Linked DNA regions of Caenorhabditis elegans. The protein of the gene in region 2 purifies or fractionates together with the protein of the main gene of each other region. This does not show direct contact. Each region holds a gene or a part of one and is shown on either strand. Other genes may lie near its edges. The genes, in order: ndub-6 and prx-19.

What was found.
Region 1: the proteins of prx-19 (region 2) and ndub-6 fractionate together in Caenorhabditis elegans (co-fractionation; one large-scale study listed by BioGRID). This does not show direct contact.

The regions. Positions count from the first base shown.
Region 1 is NC_003282.8:11,650,893-11,654,261, reverse strand, and holds ndub-6 (NADH dehydrogenase [ubiquinone] 1 beta subcomplex subunit 6), read right to left. Parts: upstream 1,860-3,369; 5' UTR 1,854-1,859; coding exon 1,747-1,853; intron 1,694-1,746; coding exon 1,591-1,693; intron 1,539-1,590; coding exon 1,422-1,538; intron 1,357-1,421; coding exon 1,246-1,356; intron 1,193-1,245; coding exon 1,059-1,192; intron 1,010-1,058; coding exon 949-1,009; 3' UTR 830-948; downstream 1-829. Other genes in the region: ent-1 (Equilibrative nucleoside transporter 3), read left to right, coding at 1-12, 61-146, 246-560; acl-3 (Tafazzin family protein), read left to right, coding at 2,243-2,393, 2,443-2,562, 2,608-2,704, 2,761-3,040, 3,141-3,347.
Region 2 is NC_003281.10:8,806,904-8,811,527, reverse strand, and holds prx-19 (Putative peroxisomal biogenesis factor 19), read left to right. Parts: upstream 1-2,232; 5' UTR 2,233-2,238; coding exon 2,239-2,336; intron 2,337-2,404; coding exon 2,405-2,882; intron 2,883-3,424; coding exon 3,425-3,697; 3' UTR 3,698-4,046; downstream 4,047-4,624. Other genes in the region: F54F2.7 (uncharacterized protein), read left to right, coding at 4,182-4,304, 4,540-4,624.

The DNA.
Region 1 (3,369 bases), on a different chromosome or scaffold from region 2:
TCCCATTGCCACGTCAGTTTTTCATCAATTCTCTTGAAATACATAACCGTGAATTTTCAGAAAAATACTTCATGGATGTGACCACATTCCTTCAATTCAACGTGTTCGCTTTTATTGGATCAATTGTCGCCGGAAGAAAGCAATGGGTATGTTTTTATTTTTTGAGATTTTGGCAAAATCTGATTGAAGGAATACCGTAAACTTGAATAAATTAGAATAATCTAATATATCAATATTTATTTCAGCCTGCGCCGAACAAGCTCTGGATTCCAGTCTACCTCCGTCTCCTCTATATTCCATTCTTCATCTTCTGCAACTATCTCCCTGAGACCCGTTCACTTCCCGTCTTTTTCGAATCCACCTGGCTTTTCGTCATTATCGCCGCCTCGATGAGCTTTGGAAGTGGATATTTCTCGGGACTCGCCATGATGTACACCTCGAAGACTGTTGATCCATCGAAGGCTCAGGTCGCTGGAATGATGGCCGGATTCTTCCTCATCTCTGGAATTGTCTCTGGTCTGATCTTCACAATGGTCATCAAGATGGTCGTCACGGCCTAAACTTCTTATTCCTCCTTATTTTATTCCCATCAACCTCATCATTAGCAATATTAATTCCCTAACGTAAATTCTTTCATAACCTTCAAGGTTTCCTCTGTAGTATCTTTATCCACTAGTGTTCTTTCCTTAAAATACCTCTTAATACTTTGTTGTTCTTTGTTATTTTCCTTCTTCAGGTATTTCCGCAGCACCATCTCGTTGTTCTCCTATTTTTTTATAATCTCAACTTGTTTTTTATGAATAAAACCTAGAAAGTTGGTTAAATAAATCATTCATGAAATTTTTTATTTACGGTAGGGTCAAAAACAAAGAAAAAACTTTAAAAATTCGTCTACAACACCCTAAAAGTACATATTCGAATGACTGATTGTCACTCGTTTCCTTTCGATTACCACGGTCGTTTTGTCTCTCCAACATCGAGGTAAGCAGTACGCTTATTAAATGTTGGTCTGAAAAGTTTCAATTTTCCAATATTCCACAAATTATTGTTTAACTCACGTGTAGTAGTCATCCTTGGATGGGTTGGCGAGTCCCTTATCCATGAGTCCAGGGAATTTCTCTTCAATTGCTGGAGCACTAGCAATAACTTCTTTTTGTGGCATCGATTCAAGTCCTCTCAAATGTGTCCAGTCCTTGAAAAGATAATGGTTCGTGAAATTAATATAAAATTCAAAAAATTGAATACCTTGACTTCGTATTTCCAATAATAATAGGCAGTCTGCACAACGACGAAAGCCATGAGCAATTTTGGAGCTGTAACTCTGATAGCGGTTCCATAGTAAACTCCGAATGTTGGCTGAAATGCAATAAATGAGAAATTCAAATTAAAAAATTGATTTTTTTAAAGAAAATATATCTCACCTTGAGGTAATGAAGATAGAACTTGTCCCATGGAAGTCTGTAAGCGGTTCTGATTGGGTTCAACTGACGATGAACGGCATCGACAACGACTGGCTCGTCAGCGTGAAGGTGCTGGTCCTAAACATAAACATTTTAGTATTAACAATTGACAAAAAATGTAAAAACTCACATGAACCCACTTCTTTCTCCATTCTCTTTCGGCTGGGCTCAAACCAGCGGCACGAACACGCTCATCGGCCATGTGGAGCTCGAGAGACATGCGGTCATTCACTCTGAATTTTTTTGTGTTGAATAGAATTTGTTGAACAGAATCTAAAAGAATTACCTGTGAAGAGGCTTGTCACCAGTCTTGACAAGCGCCGGTGGTGGAACTCCGGACCGGGTATAAGGGGAATTGCCCGTGCGTTCTGGTTTCACATACTGGTTACCCATTTGAGCCTGAAATTCGTTTTTATGAATTTGTGAGACTGCTTAAATATAAACTGAGTAAAAATCGATAATAATGAACGGGCACACAAAAAACATGATACATGACAACGAAATATAACAATTTAACATAAATTACATACGAAATCAATAAAATTTTAGCAAATTTGAATAAAACAAACTATTTTGCAGTTAAATTTAGATCTGCCATTTATTAAAAAGCCCGTTGCGGCTTGCAAAAGAAGGCGGAGTTTCGAGGTGCAAGCGCGCGGCGCACTTTTCTCTTTCTTTTTTCTTGCATTGTTCTGATTAAAATTAATATAGTTTCCACGTTCTCTAACACTTTATTATTCCATTCGAAAGATTTTTCTAAACTTTAAAAGTATTTCAGCACGATGTCGGGTACAATGCGGGATAAAACAAATGACGTGCAAGGCTTCCGGTTTGCATGGCCCTTTCCAAAAAAACCGTCACTTCTGTACCGTATAAAATCATACATGACAATGAGTTTAGTCACTTCAGTTTCCAAACTTATGTTCCTTGGAGGTTTGTCTTTTAATTAAAGTTTAAAATTATTAAATTCGATACATTTTAGGATCCAATAAGTTGATATGCCACAACAAAGAGACATTCGTCAAGATTTTGGAAAATCCGAATCAACCACTCATCACAGTCTCAAATCATCGCTCAAATATCGACGACCCGCTCATGTGGTGTAAGCCGAATGATTTATTATAGCATTCCTAATTTCTATTTTCAGGTATTCTGAAATTCCGTGAGTTTTGGAGATACAAAGATCGCAATAGATACACTCTCGCAGCTCACAACATTTGCTTCACAAAACAGTTCCATACAACGTAAGAGTTTTTTCTCTTGAATTTTTCAAATTAATCGTCGCATATTTATTTTTCAGAATGTTCTCATTAGGACGTTGTGTTCCGTGTGTTCGTGGAGAAGGAGTTTATCAAAAAGGAATGGATTTCTGTGTGGATATGCTGAATGATAATAAATGGGTTCATATCTTTCCAGAAGGAAAAGTGTGTACTCTTGAAAGTGAACCACTACGATTCAAGTGGGGAATTGGAAGGCTTGTGATGGATGCTAAAACCGATCCAGTAATATTGCCTGTATGGTGTAAAGAGATGGAAAAAGTTTGGCCAACACAACCTCCATACTATCCTAAATTTGGAAATGTAAGTCGGAAGATTTTTCAAGTTCAATAATCAAATTTAGACGTAAAAATATAAAATCTGCAAAAAACGTAGTGAAATTATTCATTTTTTTCCGTTTCAGACCGTAACAGTTCACATCGGAGAGCCATTTTTCCTGTCTGATCTCAAGAAAACAGTTCTATCAAAGTCACTGACCACTGAACAAATGCGAAAAATCATCACTGACGAAGTTCAGACACGGATGTATCAATTGGGAGAGAAAGTTGGTGATCTTCCTAAAGGATCGTCACTGGAAATTCTTCGAAAAAATCCGCCAATTGAATATTAAACTTGATTCCCCATAGCTTTAA
Region 2 (4,624 bases):
TCTTTGATTCGCCTTAACTTTTCCTTCGGAGTTTTGCATTTTAGAGTTTAAAAATAGTTTAAAATTGAGAGATTATTCATACCGAAAAAGTCATAAAGCAAAGAAATAGGCGCCACATTTCGTCAAAGCTATCAAATTCCGGGAGACGTTCGCAAGCGGAACAGGCGAAAATTTGATTGCGCAATCATTAAACGACATAGTCGGCACAAGGATAACGAGTACAATCAAATTTTACATGCAACAAGAAATCTTATACACAGAGACACCCTTAAATTGGGTTAAGGACCCAGAGATGGGCGGTCCCTAGGAATGTTCGTTTTGAAAAGAATGACAATTAGCAGATTGTGTAGAGAGAGAGAGAGCAAGTGTAGAAGAAGACGAGAAAGACTATGGTGCTACTCAAAGAGATAAAATCAAAAAGTGAAGAAGAAGTGGGAGAAAAGGACACACCCTCTCGGGAATTCACATGGGCGCCCTCCTCCGCCCTTTTCTTGGTTTGAAAGAGCATATGGTGAATGAGATATTGATATACAACCAGATAATGAAGATTTGTTTGAACTTCGAATTATAGTAATCTGAATTTTCAGTTAAAACTTTGGGAAAAGTTTATCCTAATGTAATTTTTTCAATGTTGTTATGGGGACTTAAAATATGCGTATTTTGAAATATGAGTGTAATCTCCAACGCCAAATGGGTCTTGTTAGGTATTGGTGTTTTAACAATTTGTTTCAAGATAAAACGTGAATGAAGTGTAACATAAAATAATTAGAATAACAAAAAAATTTGGCCCATGATCCGAGGGTACATCGGAATAGGGTACATCGAGCGATTTTTCGTTCTTGGGGTACATTCGAGCAAAGGGTACAATCATTCTTAGGGTACATCCACCTGTTTGTTCAGAGGGTACATCCATGGGATTTTCATAGGGTACATCGGCACTATGTTCCAAGGGTACATCCAATTTTCAAGGGGTTCAACGGAAATTTATAACTGAAATTTCTTAGAGTTGTGATTTCTCATAATCATTTTCGCATATTATCGACTTTTTTTCGGTTTTTTTACTGTCGATATTGAAAAATTCGGAATTAAACCATTGTTTTGTTTCTTGATTTCAATTTTATGAATTACAAAACAATGGTTTAATTCGAATTTTTCAATACGGCAGTTAAAAAAAGAAAAAAAGTGATAATATGCAAAAATGATTATGAGAAATCACAACTCTAAGAAATTTCAGTTATAAATTTCCGTTGAACCCCTTGAAAATTGGATGTACCCTTGGAACATAGTGCCGATGTACCCTATGAAAATCCCATGGATGTACCCTCTGAACAAACCGTTGGATGTACCCTAAGAATGATTGTACCCTTTGCTCGAATGTACCCCGAGAACAAATGTACCCTCAATTCGATGTACCCTTGGATCATGGGCCAAAAAATTTAGAAAACTGCCAGAAATGCTTAAAAAATTGGCAAAATAATTGAAAACGTTTTTATTCTCGGTTTTGCCGCCAAAACCTAATGAGACCCAAACTATATGGGCGGAGCGTTCTTATTTGCCTGAAAATATGGTAAATCTTTTGATTAACTATACCACACGTCGTCAACGTATGAACTCCTTCATATATTTTTCAACAACCCCAACATATGTGTATTACACTAGATTTGTGTAAATCTCCTACCGAGAAGCAGTTGTCCTTTTGCAAACAACTGATTGCGCAGCGGTTTAAACAAGAAACGACGAGCAGGCATTCGAATTTGAACTACCGCCAACAACTGTCGCAAGCGCGCTCCGTAGATAAAAACTTTTCCGTGATGTAATTTGTGAACGAAACTAGAATTTTTCAGCGCTTTTATTTAATTTTCAGTATATTTTTGAATTTAAGTTGATTTTATTGATTTTTAAAGTAATTTTATGACAGAAAAAGAATGTCATTCGATTTTTAAGTAGCTTACTATGGATCCCACCGAAATCTGAAAACATTGCGACCTTGCCATTCGATTTTTTTAATAATCATAGCAATTTTAACATATGATCCTTATCGATAAATCTGAACACATAAATAGTACACTGTACCCATTTGTTTTTATTTGATAAGAACACAACCTCCCGTGTGTTCACCGATTGTGTGTTTTATCGATCCAAAAGTACCCCCGCATTTCTCCTTTTCACTTATTTCCCCCTTTTCTTCTCACCGCCTCACTCTTTCGACTTTTTATTTTGCCTCTTTTTCAGAAAAAGATGACTGACGAAACAACCCAAAATATTAAAGACAAAACAGAGGAAGAGCTTGCCGCTTTGCTTGATCAAACTTTGGGAGAATTCACGGCGACACCAGCGTAAGTTTTAAATGTTTTTTAAGCCTAAAGTAAAAAAGTTTTAGTTTCTCATCCGTTTTATTTTTCAGACCAAAACCACGTACAACAGATGATGAACTCGATGAACTGATGGCTTCAGCTGATCAAGAAGCTGCACAAAAAGCTGCGAAAGACTTCCAGAAAATGCTCGAACAAATGGTGACTCTGCAAGAAGAAGCCATGAAAAAAGCTGGAGCAGATCCATCAGAAGGAGAAGGAGAACAGCCACTTGATCCAAATGATCCAGAAGCTCTTGCAATGATGGATGCATTAAAACAACTTATGGAATGCTCATCAAATGTTGCAAATGCTAGCAACCCAGAAGAATTTATGGCTGGTCTTGATATGTTACGTTCTCCAAATTCTCCAATGGAGCCATTTATGAGCATGATTATGCAAACTCTAGCTTCAAAAGAAGTCATGTATCCCCCACTTAAAGAAATTTTCGATAACTATCCAAAGTATTTGGAGGATAACGGTGCTGGTTTAGATGCTGAAACAAAGGAACGATATGAGAAACAATTCGAGGTTATTTTCTCACATTTGCAACAAAAATATAGAAAAAGCCAAATTATTTTTGTATTCTCGCACGACGAAAAATGACCAATTTCGAAATGTTCGTGTTTTCCGGCTATATTTATTGGTTTTCTTTCTATTTATTGACTTGAAACACAATTTCTCAAATTTTTCGACGAATTCTTTGAAACAAAAACCGAAAAATATTTAAAATACAAATCTATAATTAAGCATTATTTTCAACTGTTGCAGAAAATTTCTGAAATGTTGAAAAAAAATTATTTCAATTCAATAGTTAAAGAAAAACCTAACTCAAAATATTCAAAAATATGATTTTGTGCGGGAATTCAAAAATAATTCAGCTATTCGAAATTTTAGTGCAAAAACGTAAAAAAAATATATGTATTTTTAAATTTTTTTTTTGCCCAAATGACAAACAATAGTGTCACTTTACTCAATGTTTTTTTTTTCTTTAAAAAAAAATTTTCTAAAAAAATTTTTTTTCTAAAAGCTGTGAACAAGTAATATTTCTCCCAAAATTTACTATTTTTCAGGTTCTTGGAAAAATCTGCACAGAATTCGAAAAACAACCAGAATTGGCCGAAGTTCAACCTGTAGACGCAGCCACTCAACCTGCTCCCGAAGCGGATCCAGCATCTATCGAACATTTTGAGAAGCTTGGAAAGTTGCTCGTCGAGCTCCAACAATACGGATATCCACCAAAAGAACTTGTTGGAGCACTTCCAGATGGATGGCAAATTGATGAGTCTGGTCTTCCGAAAGTTGCCGATGCTGCAGCAGCAACTGAAGCGTGCTCAATTATGTGAATACTATTAACTATGTTGTTATATCAAATTGAAGCCAAAGAAATAGAATTTTAGAAAAAATAAACTTTTGTGTTTAAAAAACATAACTGTTTCCCATCAACTCTTCAATATGATAATCCCTGAATAGAAATGTCTCTTCCCCAGTGTAGCAATAAGTGTCCTCAGTTATTTTCCACATTTTCTAAGTCAGTTACTAGTTTGGTTTTTTTTTGTTTTTTTTGTTATGCTTCAACGAATAGATTTTTCTTTTAAAGTTCGCTTTTCAAGTGTGTGGCCAAATTATTTTCCAAATTACAGTCTTTTCCTTATATCCAAACATGTTTCAAATCAATAAAGATTTATGAATTTGAATTCCCTTTGAACACTTGATGATCACAATTAACTGTAATTGATATTTTTCAGAATCAGAAATTTATCTATCATTAATGAGACTACAAATATCATATTTTTAGAAAATAAATTTGCTTTCAATTAAATATTTCAGATGTCTGGACACTCATATGCTTCTGTAGTCGATCGAATTTATTCAAGAAAAAGTTCGGAACTTTATGATAATATTGCATATCTTCATCATCCAAGTGGTGTCACCGTTGTCGTTCTTCGAAATGTGAGATTTTTCTGAAAGGCACACTTAAAGGCGCATACAGATCTCACCCCGGAAAAATTCGGCGAAAAATTTGAATATTCTATTAAAACAGGCCTGGTGCGGTTTGATACATGCCGATTTACTAAGATTTGCGAACTACATACGGAAAAGTGTGAATTTATCTGTTTTGCAAAAAATACATTTTATAAAGAAAATTTTTTTATTATATGTATAGAAAACAATTCAAAATGTTTAGATTCCTGAAAGTGAAGTTGTCGAAGTGGATTTTGGAACGACGAAGAAGCACGGCGCAGATCGTTCAACAAATCAAGTTTCTGGAA